Linked DNA regions of Lonchura striata. Each later gene encodes a partner of the first gene's protein in a complex. Links are inferred from orthologs where the notes say so. Each region holds a gene or a part of one and is shown on either strand. Other genes may lie near its edges.

Region 1 (7,159 bases):
TTGAGATTCAAGAGACATACAATTTCTAAAAAACAACTAGTCCATTTCAACTCATGGACTCTAAAATATTTTTTACAAATGTCTGAACCAATTGCATATGTAAGTGTTCCTATATGGCTTGGATTTTCAGTATCCAGATGGGGTAAGAGCACACTAGAGAAGACAGTACACTTACCGTCCACTTTATTATTGCCTTTGCTGAAATATAACAACTTTTATGAACAGCACTGGTAATAGAGAAGCTTTGAGGAAGATTCTGCCCCAGGAAATTGTCACAGAATATTTCTTTGCAACTTAGTTGAACTTTACTTAATGATGTCTGCCAAGGCATAAACTTCTCAGAAGTTCAGTGAGTAGATACTTCTGCAAATACAGCTTTCTGGAGGCTGTCTGGAAAGACATTTCACAATAACTTGAGGATATTGTATCTTAATAAGTACTATAACAAGAGAAACTTTTTTTAAAGTCATTTTGCTACTTTGGGGGTGAGTGGAAAGGGAAGAGGTTCTGTGACAGAGCTCTCCTTGCCTTAGAAAGCTAAGCCTAAATTTTGACCCAAGACCTGTTGTGATTTTGAGGCCTTGTCATCTGAAATGAGTAAAGAGTAAGAATAAAAGTATTTATTATCTATATGATTCTTGCTACTTTTGAAGATTCTCCAAAAGCTTATGCACAACTTTACTCACATTAACTTGGCTCATGTGTACTTGCTAGAAAGAAGCAAGTGCCAAGGCCCTCTTAAAAGGAATGTTACCAACCTCTCTACTGGAATTAGATCACCGGACTGAAGCAGTATCAAATGGCAGCTTTTTCCACCTGCTTCTTACCTCAACCTAGCTGTGAGAAATCAACTTCCTGTGCACTCTTTAGGATCACCTACCCAATTCAACATTTTTTTTCTTTTTAACCTTTCCCTCCAAATCACTGGTCTCAAAATTAGTTGTGCATCAGCTGTTTGTGCTTATACCCAAGTGGCCATACTTGCAACATGTCATTTCCTGGATAGTGGATTAGCAATAACACTTTATTTTGTGCCAATTCATTATCTCTGAAGTGTTCTTACTGCAGCAAAATTTGAGTTAGGATTTGGTTTTAATGCATTTGCATTAACCAAAACTCATAGCACAGACACTAGACAAGAAACTGAAGAAACTGAAATTTCCAGGGAAATTTCCCTGGAAAAAAATCTGCTAGGGCTTCCCAAATAATTTGAAGGTGGTTACAGTTAACCATCACTTTCAAAACAAACAAATGAAATGTGTATGGGTATTTTTTTAACTTCCTTTTCATAACACTAGTGTATTGTAAATTGCATGAAATAAACCTGGTTTTTCCCTTTTAAAGTGTGATGTCTTACATCTGTCTTTTCTAAATGCACTAATTGATATTAATAGTGTCATATCCTGTGACAATTCTAGTTTAGCACTTGAGATGTAAAATGTAGTTGCACATTTGTGCAGTGATTCAAAGCATTAATGCTTTCTTCTCTGTAAAGAAGTATCCTTTACTGCTGCCCCAAAGACTTTGTCACAAAAAAGTTAGGTCTATTCAGATATATATCAGTTGGGAAATTATTTTCCTTTGCAGTTGCTGTGACATGCTGGTTATTGTAGGAGGAAATAGTTGTCTCTTCTATGGATATATAATCACATGAAAAAGTTTTAACTAATGACTTTGCTTACATTTTCTTTTGCACAACTCAAAAACCACCCTGCCTAACAGCAAACATTCTAGAATCCGCTAGTTTGCTTTTTAATATAAGTGCTTCCTTTGTTTGAAAAACGAAGCTATTGGAAATTGATGCTTTGTAATAAGTCAAACATATAATAAGTTTCAAGGATAGAAATGGCTTAAGGAAGTAAACTATAAGTACAAAGTACAGGTTGTTGAAATTATCCAGGAAATTTGACAGTTGTGTCCTCTACAACTATAGAAAAGTTTATAATTGAGTATTAGTATTGAGAAGACCACTGGACAGCTCTTACTTCCCAAACTGCTAGTAAGAACTTGAGAAGCTAAGACCCATGATTTTTAAATTCCTAAAGCCTCTATAGTTACATGTGAAGCAAATTTCATCTTAACAGTTTAGTCAGTTTTAAGTGCAAAGCACATTCTATTATTTCCTTGTATATTCAGCAACATCAGTAAAATTCTAATTTTACTAAACTGTTTTGCTGCATTTAATTGCATTTGAATTTTACTAAAATAAGTGCTAAGAACAAACACTGCTGTAGTAATCAAGTATAGCAATTACAGTAATTAAGTAATCAGTGTGTGCACCTGTATTTTCATCAGACTGTCCTACTAAAAATATTTATATTTTAGAGTCAGCCAGCACGACTTTCAATCCAAATTCATATTCTATATACCTGTTGCTGTGTTTTCGCCATTTAGGAAAAATGAGAGCACAAAAGAGACAAGTGTCTACCCTGAACTAGAAACCAGGTTATAAAGGGGACATAAACAACTTAGTCATTAGCAACCTGTTTTGATCTTTTATAACATCTAGGGTTCATTTGGCACTAGTTTTCATTTCAGTGAGAAGTTTCACTTCAAAAAGATGAAAATGATCCTGCAAATTCACCGTTTTGGGTGCTGTTCATCTTTCAGTGTGCTGAACTCTTGCCTCATAAGTCATACACACATGTATGTGACATTCTCAGAGACTGTAATGTGTACAATTTCGTGAGAGAGGTCCTGCAAGCCAGGTGTTGACAGTTTCCACTGCTTTTCATGTCACTGTGTGGAAAGTTACACAGGGGAGTATGTATTTATCCTGGTCTACAGTGTGCATTTGCCCCTGTTGAAAGGTTTCTTAGGTAGAGTGATCTTTGCTGAAGATTTTGATTAGGGCTGATTGGAATCCAGGTGATTATTTATTGAAATAGTCAATCCTAGACTTCTGAAGAAACCATTTTGAGCATTAATACTACATAGAACATCTTTCAAGTAACATTGATACAGACTAGCACAAGGCAGCGATTTCAGGACTAAAAATTCCTCAGTTTCATTAAGAAAGACAAGTTCAAGATGGGAATAGAATGTGATTCATACTCCACTTGCCATTTAAAATGTGTTCTTAGAAACCCAAACAACATCCCTCCCACTCGTCCCCCGCCAAGGAAACCAAACCCAGGTCAGAAATCCCGTAAAGGTCAGCGAAAGCAGCGCGGGCCGGAGGCGAACGCAGCCCGCCCCCGAGCGGCTGCCGGCTCCGATAGGCCGCCGGGCCCGGCCGCCGCCGCGGGAGTGCCGCGGGAGCCGCGGCCCCGCCCCGCGGGCCCGGCCGGGCAGGGGCGGGGCTCGGCCCGGCTGGAGCGCGGCCCGCAGACCCGAGCGCGCCGGCGACACACCAGGCCTTCGGAAGCGACAGGCGGCTCCCGGAGCGCCAGAGGTAAAGGTTGATTCGGCTCTCGGCCGGAGCGGGGCAGCGGAAGGCACGGGAGGTGCTCGGCTTCGGTGTAGCCCTGCGGAGGGGTTTCTAGTGTTCCGTACTCAGGCACTGCTGGGGGCACCTCTGGGTCCTGTGTCGTGAGGATGCGCAAAGCGTGACGATGGGATCACAGACGGATCGGGCCGAGGGACAGAATAGCGCTTTCGCGCTCGTCGGCGAGGCGAGAGGGAGGGAAACTCCGGAGTGGAGACAAAGCGGCGGGAGCGGGAACATCCGGGTCACTGACGCGGCCTCGATCCGGGACACGCGCGGCGGCGGCGGCTCTCGGTGAGGCCCGCCCGGGAGTGGGGCCGCGGCGGCCCCGGGGTCGGGGAGCGGGGCCGGGCCGGGCGGGCGCCCCCCGCCTACGGCGGGACGGGACGGGAGCGGCGGATGGACGTGCGGGCCTGGCGACTGCTGCCTTGTGGCCGGGCCGGCCGGCGCGGCGCGGCGCTGCCCGCCGGAGGTTCCGAGCGGCTCGCAGCTCTTGGCGGTGGCGGGCGGAGGTCGCCGAGCGGGGCGTGGAGCCGCTCGGTCTGCGCGGTCCGTCCCGCCCCGCCGGGTGGCTGCCCGGGAGCGGCGGGCGGGCCCGCGGTGCCCCGTGCAGGCCTTGGGCGCTGCCTCGGCCCCTCGCGGGGCCGACGGGACCGGCGGCCCTCGGTGGTGGCGGGCGGGCCTCGGCCCTGTCCGCTCACTTGGCCGTCGAACACCGAGCCCATCGCCGCGCGGCATCTTCTGTTGTTTAATGAGCGACTCCGGTCGCCGCTCGGCCTCTTCTACCTTTCTTGCCGCAAGCAGAGGAGACTTTCTATCCTAGTCCAGAGTTAGCGTGCTTTGACTAAAGCTTAGACCGTGGCTTTCTCCACCCTTCTGAAAAATAAAGTTGCAATAGTTCGGGGCAAACTATTTCGATAATACTGACTTTCTATGTCAGTATTTAACCTGCAAAGTAAAAAATGAGGCTAGCAATCTTAACGTTTTGGGGACTTTTTTTCTTGCTGCTTGGAATCAATAAGTCGTACTGAAAGTTCTTGAACCTCAAAGAGCATATTGTTGATGTATTTAGAGAGTTGTTTGTGGCACAGGAACGATTCCTTGCGAGATGTGCGTTTTGTGTCTGAAAGTAGGTTATTCCACCTCATCGGAGAGTGTAAATGGGTAAGATATTCTGTAATGGGACACAAAAATTTGCATTTATGATAAGCGTGATGATTTTATTTCGTCCTTTTTTTAAAATAGGCAGTAGCAGCAGCAAAGGCAAGCTATTGAGTAAATTTGGAAGTTTCTGTTAACTTTCTGAGTTGATGGCAGTAAAAGGGACATTACTACCTCTTAATGGCAGGGGTGAATTTGGGGGATTCAACTCAAAACGTGAAGAGTGGTCTCTTTGACTTTCATGGCATGTGCCACAAAATAGAATTGAATAGACTTCCTCTGGTGTAAAATTCTTTCTGTTAATGTAGTACATAAATAGATTGGGATATAGAGAGTTTATATTGCCAGTTAGCTTGTGAAGGGATGCTTAACTAATGGGATCTTAGTTTGTGAAATGAGCTTTCAGTCTTGTTTAATCTTTATTTTCTGTTAGACTGATGAGGTTTTAGCTGCTCGTCAGTGTAACTGAAGTCTATGGAAACCATATATGTGAAGCTTGTTGTCTGTCATACATGCTGAAATTTTTCAGTGCTTAACTAAGTCTAATGCCTCAAGATTTGGAAAGTTATTTGTAGACCATTAGAAAAACCTTTATTGTACTAAGGCACAGTATAGTGTGTAAGAAAAGCAAGTACTCGGGATTTTTTTTTTTTTTTCAATTACTCAAAAAGTTACTGGGTTACTGATGTTCTGCAGAAGATCCGCTGCTTATTTACCCAGTGAGAAACTGGCGTTTCCCTTGAGGTTCATGTTGTAATTAATTGGCTGTTAGCCACAGGAAATGGAATAAATATATTTGAAAGCATCCTGTAATGCATTTTTTTGGCAGAAAAGGTAGCTGAGTTTGGTGAACTATGTGGGAATATTTGGATGGTTTATAAGCAAATATGCCTGTGATGGGAAAGTTAGTATTGGTACAGTGGACTACCAGGTACCAAAGGCACAGCTGAAATTCTGCTGTACATTCAGTTCATTTACATCTCTTACAACATATTAAAACTTGCTCATGACATAGTAAAACTTGCAGCCTGTATAATTTGGTTAAGGGAGAGGATTTTTGTTGTCTTTGGTTTCTTGGGTTTTTTTTCAGTTCTACTGGTATTTTTTTCAATGGCTCTGCATCTCCAGCTTGTGAGCAGACTAAAATCTGAAGTCATGTGTACACATTCCCTAAGTCCTGCAAGTCTTCTGCCATAATTAATACAGAGGTGGATGTGTTGGGACTACTGGAGGAAAATCAGACTGAACATAGGAATATTTTTGTGTGTGTGCATGTCCACTGAGTGTGAATTGTCCCTTTTAAAAAGCTTTATCTGACATTAATTTAGTTGCTACTTTGAAAGTGAATTAGGGAATATGGCCATCTAGGCAAAACAGTCTTAAAAGGTTGGAGAACAGATTTAAAATAGATATTGTTCTAGGAACTGCATAAGCTGCTTAAAGTTCTACAATTCATATGCTTATAATAGTAGTAGACTGCAGTACTTCTTATAAATAATCAACATATTGAGAGGTTGTGAAATTTTGCATAATCCTTAACCAGTGTATAAGGGTTTGTTTTAATAGAGTGGTAACACTGCTGAGAGTCACTCTGTGAGCTCAAGTGGAAGCATTCTACTATTCTGCTGTCAAAAAGGTTTATTATGGTGGTTACCATGCTTGGCTATTACTAAGGCCGTGAAGGTTCAGAAATAGTCTTCAGTTTATACTGGAATTGAAAATCTGTCTTGTGCAATGAGCTGCTGGCTCTTCCTTAGCTAAGTTGCTGCCTGTTCCTGATGTTGTCTAGAAGTTTTATAGCAGCATCACTGCAAAACTGAGATGACTTTGTTAAATTCTATGCCCCTGTTGCTTTTGTGGGGAATACTGGCTTTCAATGGGAATTTACCCAAAAAGTAGTATTTCTTATTCCCATTTGCAGAAATGGGAGTAATACAGGTGTTTGCCTACAGAAGAAACTTGCCATATTGCATGTGGTGTAGGAGGGAGATAAAGAGTGTGTCATTTGCACAAGTAGGAAGTCTGCACACTTTTTCCATTACTAATACTGTTTCTATTGTCAAACTACTGTCAAAGTTTCTTCGAAGATGGGGTTCAAATATAAAACAATAAGGTAAGAATGGAATTTTGTAGGTCATGTCCAGTAACTAAGAACTTGATGGCATAGGGAAATTTGATGTTATTCCTGATGATAAATTCTGCCAGCTGTGAGAAACATGTGGCTAGGTTATTGAAGTGAAAATGAGAGGTCAAAATTACTCTTGAGTGAGCAGGGGCTTATAAACACATAATGCATTGTTTATGCTATAAGTTAAAGTATATGCTAACAGCAATTACTTTTGTTTCAGAGGGACTCTGAATATGTCTGGCATAGCTCTTAGCAGACTTGCACAGGAGAGAAAAGCCTGGAGAAAAGATCATCCGTTTGTAAGTACCAAAGCCACCAAATCTGACTGCAATTGTTTCAGTGTTCTGGTGATGATTTTTTCATTACCCTGATAGGATTTTTTTTTAAATTAAAATAATTATTTTTAAATTGAAAAAAAAAGTAGTGCAAAAAGAAGTAACTTT
Region 2 (7,844 bases), on another chromosome or scaffold:
CCGCTTTTGAATTATGAGGTGAAAGAGGCATGCTAGTTTAGTGTGAAATTCTGCCTAGTGTTTACATAATTTATTTACCATCAGGACTTTAATGTGCTCTGTAAATTTGGAGTCGCAAATGCACTAATGAATACTGTTCTGCTTTCAAAAGGTGTGAGAGTGACAAAGGACCTCTCAGTGCTCTGAAAATGGTCATAAATAGTCTGTCATCTTATGCACTCCCATTGTGTTTGTTCTGCTCTTGTATCAAAGTGCAGGGGAAGAGGAGCTAATGTGCCAAATTACAAAACATGAAGGCAGGTTGCTGTAGCTCAGCAGCTAAAAATGAACTGCCAGACTAAGAAGTACTTCCTAATATTTGGACTTCTACTAAAGTTTGTTTTTTATAGAGGGTAGAAATGCCTCTTTCAGAGCCATCACTTTAAAGACTTCTGTTCTCAGCACTGACTAAATGATATGGCCTGCTAATTCTCAGCCTCCTTTGCTTACACCTGGAGGAGAAGCCATGTGTAGTAAGGTTCCACAAGCCAATGTACTTGATGTGGAAGCTGAACATTTTGAGACTAGAATATAGTACTCAATGCTAGATGTGCCTATCTCCTCAGTATCATACCCTTTCCTACCCACAAGTATCTTTACATATGTTACTTTAAAAAATGCACAGGATTGCTAGCTTTTTACAGATTTTTAGTAGGCAACTTCATCCATTTTCACTCTCACTGAAAGAAAATGTATTCTGTTTATCATTCTACCTCTGTACAAGGTAAATTGCATGCAAAGATATTTATGCAGTGAATCAAGTAAGTATTGATTCTCTCATCAGTGGAATCTGTGGTCATATTAGACATGTCAGGTCATAAAAAGCAACCATTTTAGTTTGCATTAGATGGCTAATTGCTTTTATATGCATCTCCTTCAAGAAAAAATGGCATGTCAAACTCCTAAAGGAATAATCATATTTTTTATGAATGTGATAGTTACATTATTTGGTCTTACTACTTGTACATCACATTGCATAGAAACTTCTGGGCAGAAGGTACTGCAGACCTTATTGTGGGGCCTTGGCCATGTGTGAAATGACATGTTGTTACCAGGGAGCCACAGATTCCAGTGGCAGCTCCCCACAATAGGGGTCTGCCTATTTGCAGTGTGGGTACATACTTTTGACTGGAGTCAGAATTAATCCAATTTTCAAAGGATTATGTAAATTTATTGGAAGTTATTAGGATAGTTATTAGGCTTCATTAAGAAAATTGAAAAGATTAGATTATTTCTGTTGCTGATATTCAGTTTGGACCATGGCCTCTCTCATAAAATAGAAACCATCACATTTGTTTTCTACATATTATGGGGAAAAAAAAAGACTGTAATGTGTTTTGTTTTCCAGTGTTATGCCAATTTTGTAGTAACTACAGAAAGTTTTAGCTATTTTGCTAGCATGCTGCTGTTCTTGCCTCCAGCTTCTGAAGACTATGACCCCATAAACCTCCTGTCTGCAGAGATAGCTAATGCTTTAATTGATCATTAGTACACTTTCAAAATGAGTTTCCATCTGCCAAAAGATTAAGTGTCTCAGGGAATTGACTGAGAGCAGTTTGATGCATGGAGGATAAATGCAAGTGCCTTTAAAAAGCACTGCTAGATCACAAATCCTTGAAAAACTTGGTTCTAAAATACTTAAAAGGAAAAGTAATAGAAAAGGTTTTTCCTCTGCTTTGTTTTTCCCTCAAATTAAGTATTTTTTTATATATCACTGAGAATTTGTTGCCTCATTTTCAAGAACTGAAAAGCAAAACCTCATGAAAATGCTGAATTTAACCTTAGAGCAAAGCAAGCAATTTTTGGCAGCTTTAATTTGCAATGTAAATTTTTTGTTAAATGAGTTTATTTCAACTGTAAAAAAAACACAGGAGAAAAAAAAGGAAAACTTTTCCACTAGTTGTACTTAAGAATACTAGGAGAAAAATACTTCTGTCTTTTATCATGTATTTTCACATTTACTGGGTTTGCTTCTTTTTCTGTTTCCTTCAAGCTTTTGCCTTAGTTTATTTGGAGAGATTTTTTTACAAGTTTCCTGTTGGTTTCTCTCTGTCATTTTTGTACAAGCCGCTTTGGGTAAGACTTCTACCACTGCAATAACACAATTGTTTTTAGAGAAATGGTAGCTTCTTTCTCAGGTCTCTGAAAAAGCATTGCTATTAACTCGGGTAAGGACAGTTCTGACAATGCCATTCTGGCTGCATTAGAGCTGGCAGCAGTGTGGTATCAGAAAATACAGGCACTGCAGCTGTCCTGCAGCAGTGACAAAAGGCAGAAGTGGTTTGTGTTGCACTGGTCAGCTGTCAACTTCCCGTGGTTATGGATTCCTCATTCCTTATGTGGTCTTGTGAGCCCCAAATGGGCACCTGCAGTGACTTTAGACTTCCTTGTGTCCTTTAATGTCTTCTGCAGGATGTGCTTTTAGCTCTGCCTGCAGTTACGATCGCGGAGGTGGCAAAGGGCCTGGCATGGAACTGATGGTAAAAAGATACAGATGGATATTCCAAATTTACTTTTTTCCAAATGTCTGTCTACTCCTCCTCTGATTTGCCACTCAGGTTATGGCAAAACTGGTCTAAATGCACCATTTTGTGTATATTCACTAGTGGTTGTTGAAACAACACCCAATTGAGGCTGTAATTACAGTGAGTGGAAGGCAAAGGATACTGCTTTTGCAAATAACCCTGGGAAGATTAATCTAACCTATGTATGAAGGGTTGCAATCTCTTTGCCTTGTCCGGCAAAGTGGAAGATACTGGTGGCACAATTGTTCTGTGACAGGATCTTGGAGCTGGTTTAATATAGGCTGACTAAAAAGTGAAACTTTTTTTTTAAACTTTATTTGCCACATGTTGATGGGGAAGTATCCATTTAGAGAATATGGCTACAATTCTATCAAACACTTCAATGCTTGAAAAAATAAAGAGCGGAAATAAGATCTTGACTTTCAATTTCATAATAATGCAATATGAAGGCCAGATTGTAACTGTAGATGTTCATTTCAAATTTAAATATTTAGCATTTTCAGTTGTCTGTGAATACATGAAAATTTATTACATTAAGATGGAATTTAGATCTTTGACATGAAGCTGATATTTTCATAGACTGAAAAATATCAAGCTGACATTATACTGTCTCATTTGATGACTTCCAAATGTCAGAGTGCAGTAACTTATTCATAGGGACCACCATGTCTTGTGATAGTGTCAATTCAAAAGACATTTACATCGACTTTTTTATTTAAACAGGTAAAATGGAATATGCAGAGTGGCAGAGGAGAAGGGGGAAAGACCAGGGCAAGGAAGTTCTTAATAATGGAATGGAGGCACTTCTAAGGCTAATTTCCACCACAGCCTTCTTCCTGACAGCAGCCTGGCTGTGCTGCTCCCTCCCAGCATCTTCCTCCTCCCCTGCCCAGCCAGCTCTTAGTCCTTGTTATTTCAACACAACTTAGGGGGTTAGAAATACCAGGATATACTCTCCTAAGAAGTACCCCCACCACAGCCCTTGCTTTTAAAAGAGATTTTGTAATAATGGGACATACTGGATGATTTTGCCTGGGAGTTAATATGCCTATATAACTTAGATCAAAATTACAATGTGCTTATATAGCTTGAGTTACAAGATACCAGTATAGCCTGATGTATCTATATAACCTGATATCAATATAACTTAAATAATTACTTTTTATATATCTATATAACTTGCTATCTAGATAACCTGAATCAGTTTTTTATATCTATATAACCTGATATAAATAACTTTTTATACAATGTAATATCTAGCATATGGTTAACTAGTTGTTTAATGCTGAATAGACAAAAAAGAAGAAAAAACATGTCAGGTGGATAGCTTCAGAGACAGGTAAGTATAGTACTAATGAAAAATTGGCAAATGCAAAGCCAACTGGCCACAAAACAAAGAATTTAGGCCAGTCAAGACCAGACCCAGGAACACTGTAACTGCGCATGCTCCAAAGACAAAGTTGAATAGTTCAGATGTGAAGAAGACCTTGGAAGCCTTCGTCAAAGACCTCCGATGAGCCCTGAACTGGGGAGGCACAAGCCTCTCTAATGGTCTAATAACCATGAGATCATATTATGTAATGTATGGTGCCTATATGATGTTGTAGTGACACAGCACCACTAAGCACCAGTTCCTGTATAAACGTACCACAGCCCGTGACAAAGGTGGGTCAGCAGGTAGAGATATCCTCCTCACCACCAGGCTGCTGTGAACAAATACTTGCTCTGTAGACATTGCTCTCTGAGGATTTATTTCCAGCCTATCTTCCAGGCATCATAATGGTACTGTTGGCACAGCGCTCCGCACCTTGGGGCAGGGACGGAGATTCAGGTTCGGAGTGCTCGGGACTGGGCCGGGCGGACGGGAGGAGGGACAGGGACAGGGACAGGGCCGGGCGGACGGCAGGAGGGACAGGGACAGGGCCGGGCGGACGGCAGGAGGGACAGGGACAGGGCCGGGCGGACGGCAGGAGGGACAGGGACAGGGCGCGGGGCCGGGCGGACGGGAAGGAGGGGCAGGGACAGGGACAGGGCCGGGCGGACGGGAGGAGGGACAGGGACAGGGCGCGGGGCCGGGCGGACGGGAAGGAGGGACAGGGACAGGGCCGGGCGGACGGGAGGAGGGACAGGGACAGGGCGCGGGGCCGGGCGGAGCCGCCATTTTGTTCTCCTCCCTACGGCGCGGTCCGGGCCGGCGGCGCCCCCTGGCGGTGCAGGCCCCGCGGCCGGCAGGGGGCGCGGCGGCGCGCGCCGGCGGCCATGTCGGAGCTGGCGCGGGAGGAGCTGTCGGCGCTCGCCGCCATCTACTGCGAGCCGGGCGCCTGCGAGGTGCTGGCGGCCTCAGGTGATGCGGCCGCGCTCCCTGTCCACAGCCCGGGCTCTCCCGGCCCGACCCGGGCCCTGGAGGAAGCGCTCGGGGCCGCTCCCGGCGGGGCTCAGCACGGGCGCGGGGCTCGCCGCCGTCGCTTGCCGCGGGTCCCCGCCCCGCCGGTGTCTGCGCTGGCGCCTCGCTTGGGGCGCGGGGCCCGCGGGCCCTGCGCGGTTCTGGGCAGGGACCAGCCTGGGGCAGCGCAGGGGGCGGCTGGCTGCTCTCTGGGCAGACAGGCAGGTGAAGCTTGTTAACGAGACCGTGTATTTGTCTGGCAATACTGAGTAGGGTACAGCTGTTGCAGTGCGTGAGGAACATTGGGTTATCTCTGTATTTTTCTGGGTCAGCTGACTACCTGGGCACTGTGATGTGCCAGATGTTACTCCTGCTTCAGCCAGATGTGTACGGCTGTAGGTTTTACAGGGGACCCAGGCTGCTGTGCCGTGTCTGTCGGGGTTTGTAGTACTTGCTCCCATCAGCTGCTGGATGCTGTAGACAAGGAGTGCTGGGAGTGTAGATGCCGTGATGGTTTCTGCGCCACCTATGGTGACCACTGATCAGAACACAGTACTAAGAGATGTTTTTTTTCAGTCTGTGCAGTACAGTGTTGTGAAGATGCCCCTTCAGCATCAATCTCAGCAGTTCCAGTGTACAACAACAGCTCAGTCAGGCTTAAATGTCAGGTAGGATATGCAAGTGTTGGTGTCTAGATTCAGGCTTTTCCTAAATTTTGTGCCTACCACAGATGTGACAACTCGTAGATATTTTTTGGAGAGAGATACACATGCACATATCCACAAAGAGTAAGCCTGTATTGTGTACCGCAGGTCCCTGCTGTCTGGGAGCCTTTGCAGAGTTCTGCCCAGCACAGCGATGGACAGGGAGCAGCTTCCTGCTGGTTGGATGGCAGTGAAGTCCTGGGGAATGCTGCTAAAGATGCATGTAGGGGCCTGCTGTCAGATTTTGTCTGCACAGGTACCTATTCAGCCCTAAAGAACTGGGGTTGATAAGGAAACTTTTTTTACTGTGAGGGTGACTAAGTGCTGAGGGCTGCTGGGAGAAATTGTGGAGTCTCCCTCACTGGAGATATTCAGAATATGTGGATATTGTCCTGGGCAGCTGTGCTGCTGTAGGTGACTGCTTGAGGGGAGAGTTTGGATGAAGGCATTAATGTCTGCAGAGAGCACAATTAACCACAGTCATCTAAACCCACCAATTTTATATCTAGATATACATGACACACCTCCTGCTCCAGTGCAGGCATGTAAATCTGCCATTTAATTTTTTAAATTGGTATTTAGGGTTGTATCTTTAGAATATGATCGATGAAATGTTTCTACTGAGCTTTATTTTTAAGTGAAAAATTCCAAGAATGTTATTTTGGGCTTAGTTTGAAAAAGAAGTATCCAGGCTTATCAGATGTTAATCTAAAAAAACGTGAGCATATCTGAACATTGCACATACACATCTGTTCCTCTAAATCTTTTGAGAAATGCAGGCACGTTCTTCTCTGTGCTTCATATATGGAAAAATGATTTTGTATTTGTAAGTTACCGGAATCTAAAAGGTTTAAAACTCCTGCTGGACATAAAGTAAGGTGCCACAAGTGCACAATGGGAGTAGACTATTTATATTGATGTTATGTGATCTTGGAGGGCCTTTAACCAGGCTGTATTCATGATATGGTAAGATCAGGTATATTTGATAGGTTTGCATAGTTTTCTACTGGAATTGAAAAGACTATTTTACAATAATGATTATTGGTATTTTTCTTACTCTTGGAATTTACTTGTTGGAGCTGCAGAATCTCTAGTCAGTATACAATTAACTTGTGCTCCAGTCATTAGATTACATTTGCTTTATCTCTTCAAACCATGTAAATTGTCATTGACCAAGGGTGCACAGACATAACTTCCAGGAAGACTGTTATGTTATGCAATCTCTAAGACATTAAGAGTAATTTGTGTGTAGATCCATGGGATCAAAAAGGAGGCCACTGGGGATTTGTGGTTTTGAGGAATGTAAGAGAATGCTTTTACAGGTCTCTTGGTATGGTATAAACTTTGGCTTTTTGGAATTTAACAATGAAATATTCAGAATGTAAAATGTGTTTTTATCAAAACCAATGTGTGGATGAATTTAAATAAACTAATTACAGCATATCTTTTTTACCTTACATATCTATTTGCAAAGATTAGTGTTACAGATATAAATCCATCATTTAATTGTTAATCTCTTTCTTTTGGTCTGTTCACCAAGCTTGCTATAAAAATATATTTAGATATTCTAAGCTTGTACATTAGTAGGTGCCATTTTCTGAATTTAAAAATAGACTGCATGTGTTGCATAAAATGCCTTTGGGCAGGAGAGGAGGGGGATATCTGTCTGCTTGACATGGAACATAAGAAAAAAATCTGAAGTACGCTAGAGCTAAATATACTGATAAGCATGCTGCTATGGGGGGAAATGAGTTAAAATGTATTGAGTTTAGTCTGATTAGCACATTAAATGCCAGCAGAACAGTCATACCCAACCTTTTATTTCAGAAATAATCATCATGTTGCTGTGAAGACAACTCAGCCCTTGTAGCATGTGCAAACAAAGGAAATATTTCTTTGGAGCCAGGTTGCGCAGGGCGCCGGTGGTTTGCTCTTTGTTCTGCCAGTGTCTGCAGCGCTGGTGCAGAAAATGGACGCTGCAGGGTTTAAATAAACTTAGATGCTGTAGCCCTGCAAAGGTTTTGAACCGATTCTTCTTTTTGAAAGTAAGTCTGAAGCAGATGTAAATGAGCACAGCTGGGCTTTTCCTGATGGCTCAGGGTGATACACCTTGGGATGCGAGGCTGTTCTGCCTCCTTCAGATTAGTTCATCGCAAGGAAAGGTGTGAGATTTTTGCACGTTTAAGAATAACA

The links. The genes of interacting proteins can lie anywhere in the genome.
Region 2: the proteins of UBE2I (region 1) and RWDD3 are in contact, whole or in part, in a crystal structure (PDB 4Y1L), measured with the Homo sapiens proteins. The link is inferred for Lonchura striata from reciprocal best matches to the Homo sapiens genes UBE2I and RWDD3. Residues at the interface, in NP_003336.1 of Homo sapiens: Leu6, Ser7, Ala10, Gln11, Arg13, Lys14, Arg17, Lys30, Gly34, Thr35, Met36, Leu38; in NP_056300.3 of Homo sapiens: Glu3, Pro4, Glu7, Ser10, Val11, Ala13, Ala14, Ile15, Cys17, Pro98, His101, Glu102, Leu105.

What each region holds. Positions count from the first base shown.
Region 1 is NC_134618.1:17,602,623-17,609,781, forward strand, and holds the start of UBE2I (SUMO-conjugating enzyme UBC9), read left to right. Parts: upstream 1-4,085; 5' UTR 4,086-4,535; coding exon 4,536-4,591; intron 4,592-6,936; coding exon 6,937-7,015; intron 7,016-7,159. UniProt on the Homo sapiens protein: Accepts the ubiquitin-like proteins SUMO1, SUMO2, SUMO3, SUMO4 and SUMO1P1/SUMO5 from the UBLE1A-UBLE1B E1 complex and catalyzes their covalent attachment to other proteins with the help of an E3 ligase such as RANBP2, CBX4 and ZNF451.
Region 2 is NC_134611.1:21,409,683-21,417,526, forward strand, and holds the start of RWDD3 (RWD domain-containing protein 3), read left to right. Parts: upstream 1-4,808; 5' UTR 4,809-4,823; coding exon 4,824-4,908; intron 4,909-5,180; exon of another isoform or gene 5,181-5,608; coding exon of another isoform or gene 5,609-5,615; intron 5,616-7,844. UniProt on the Homo sapiens protein: Enhancer of SUMO conjugation.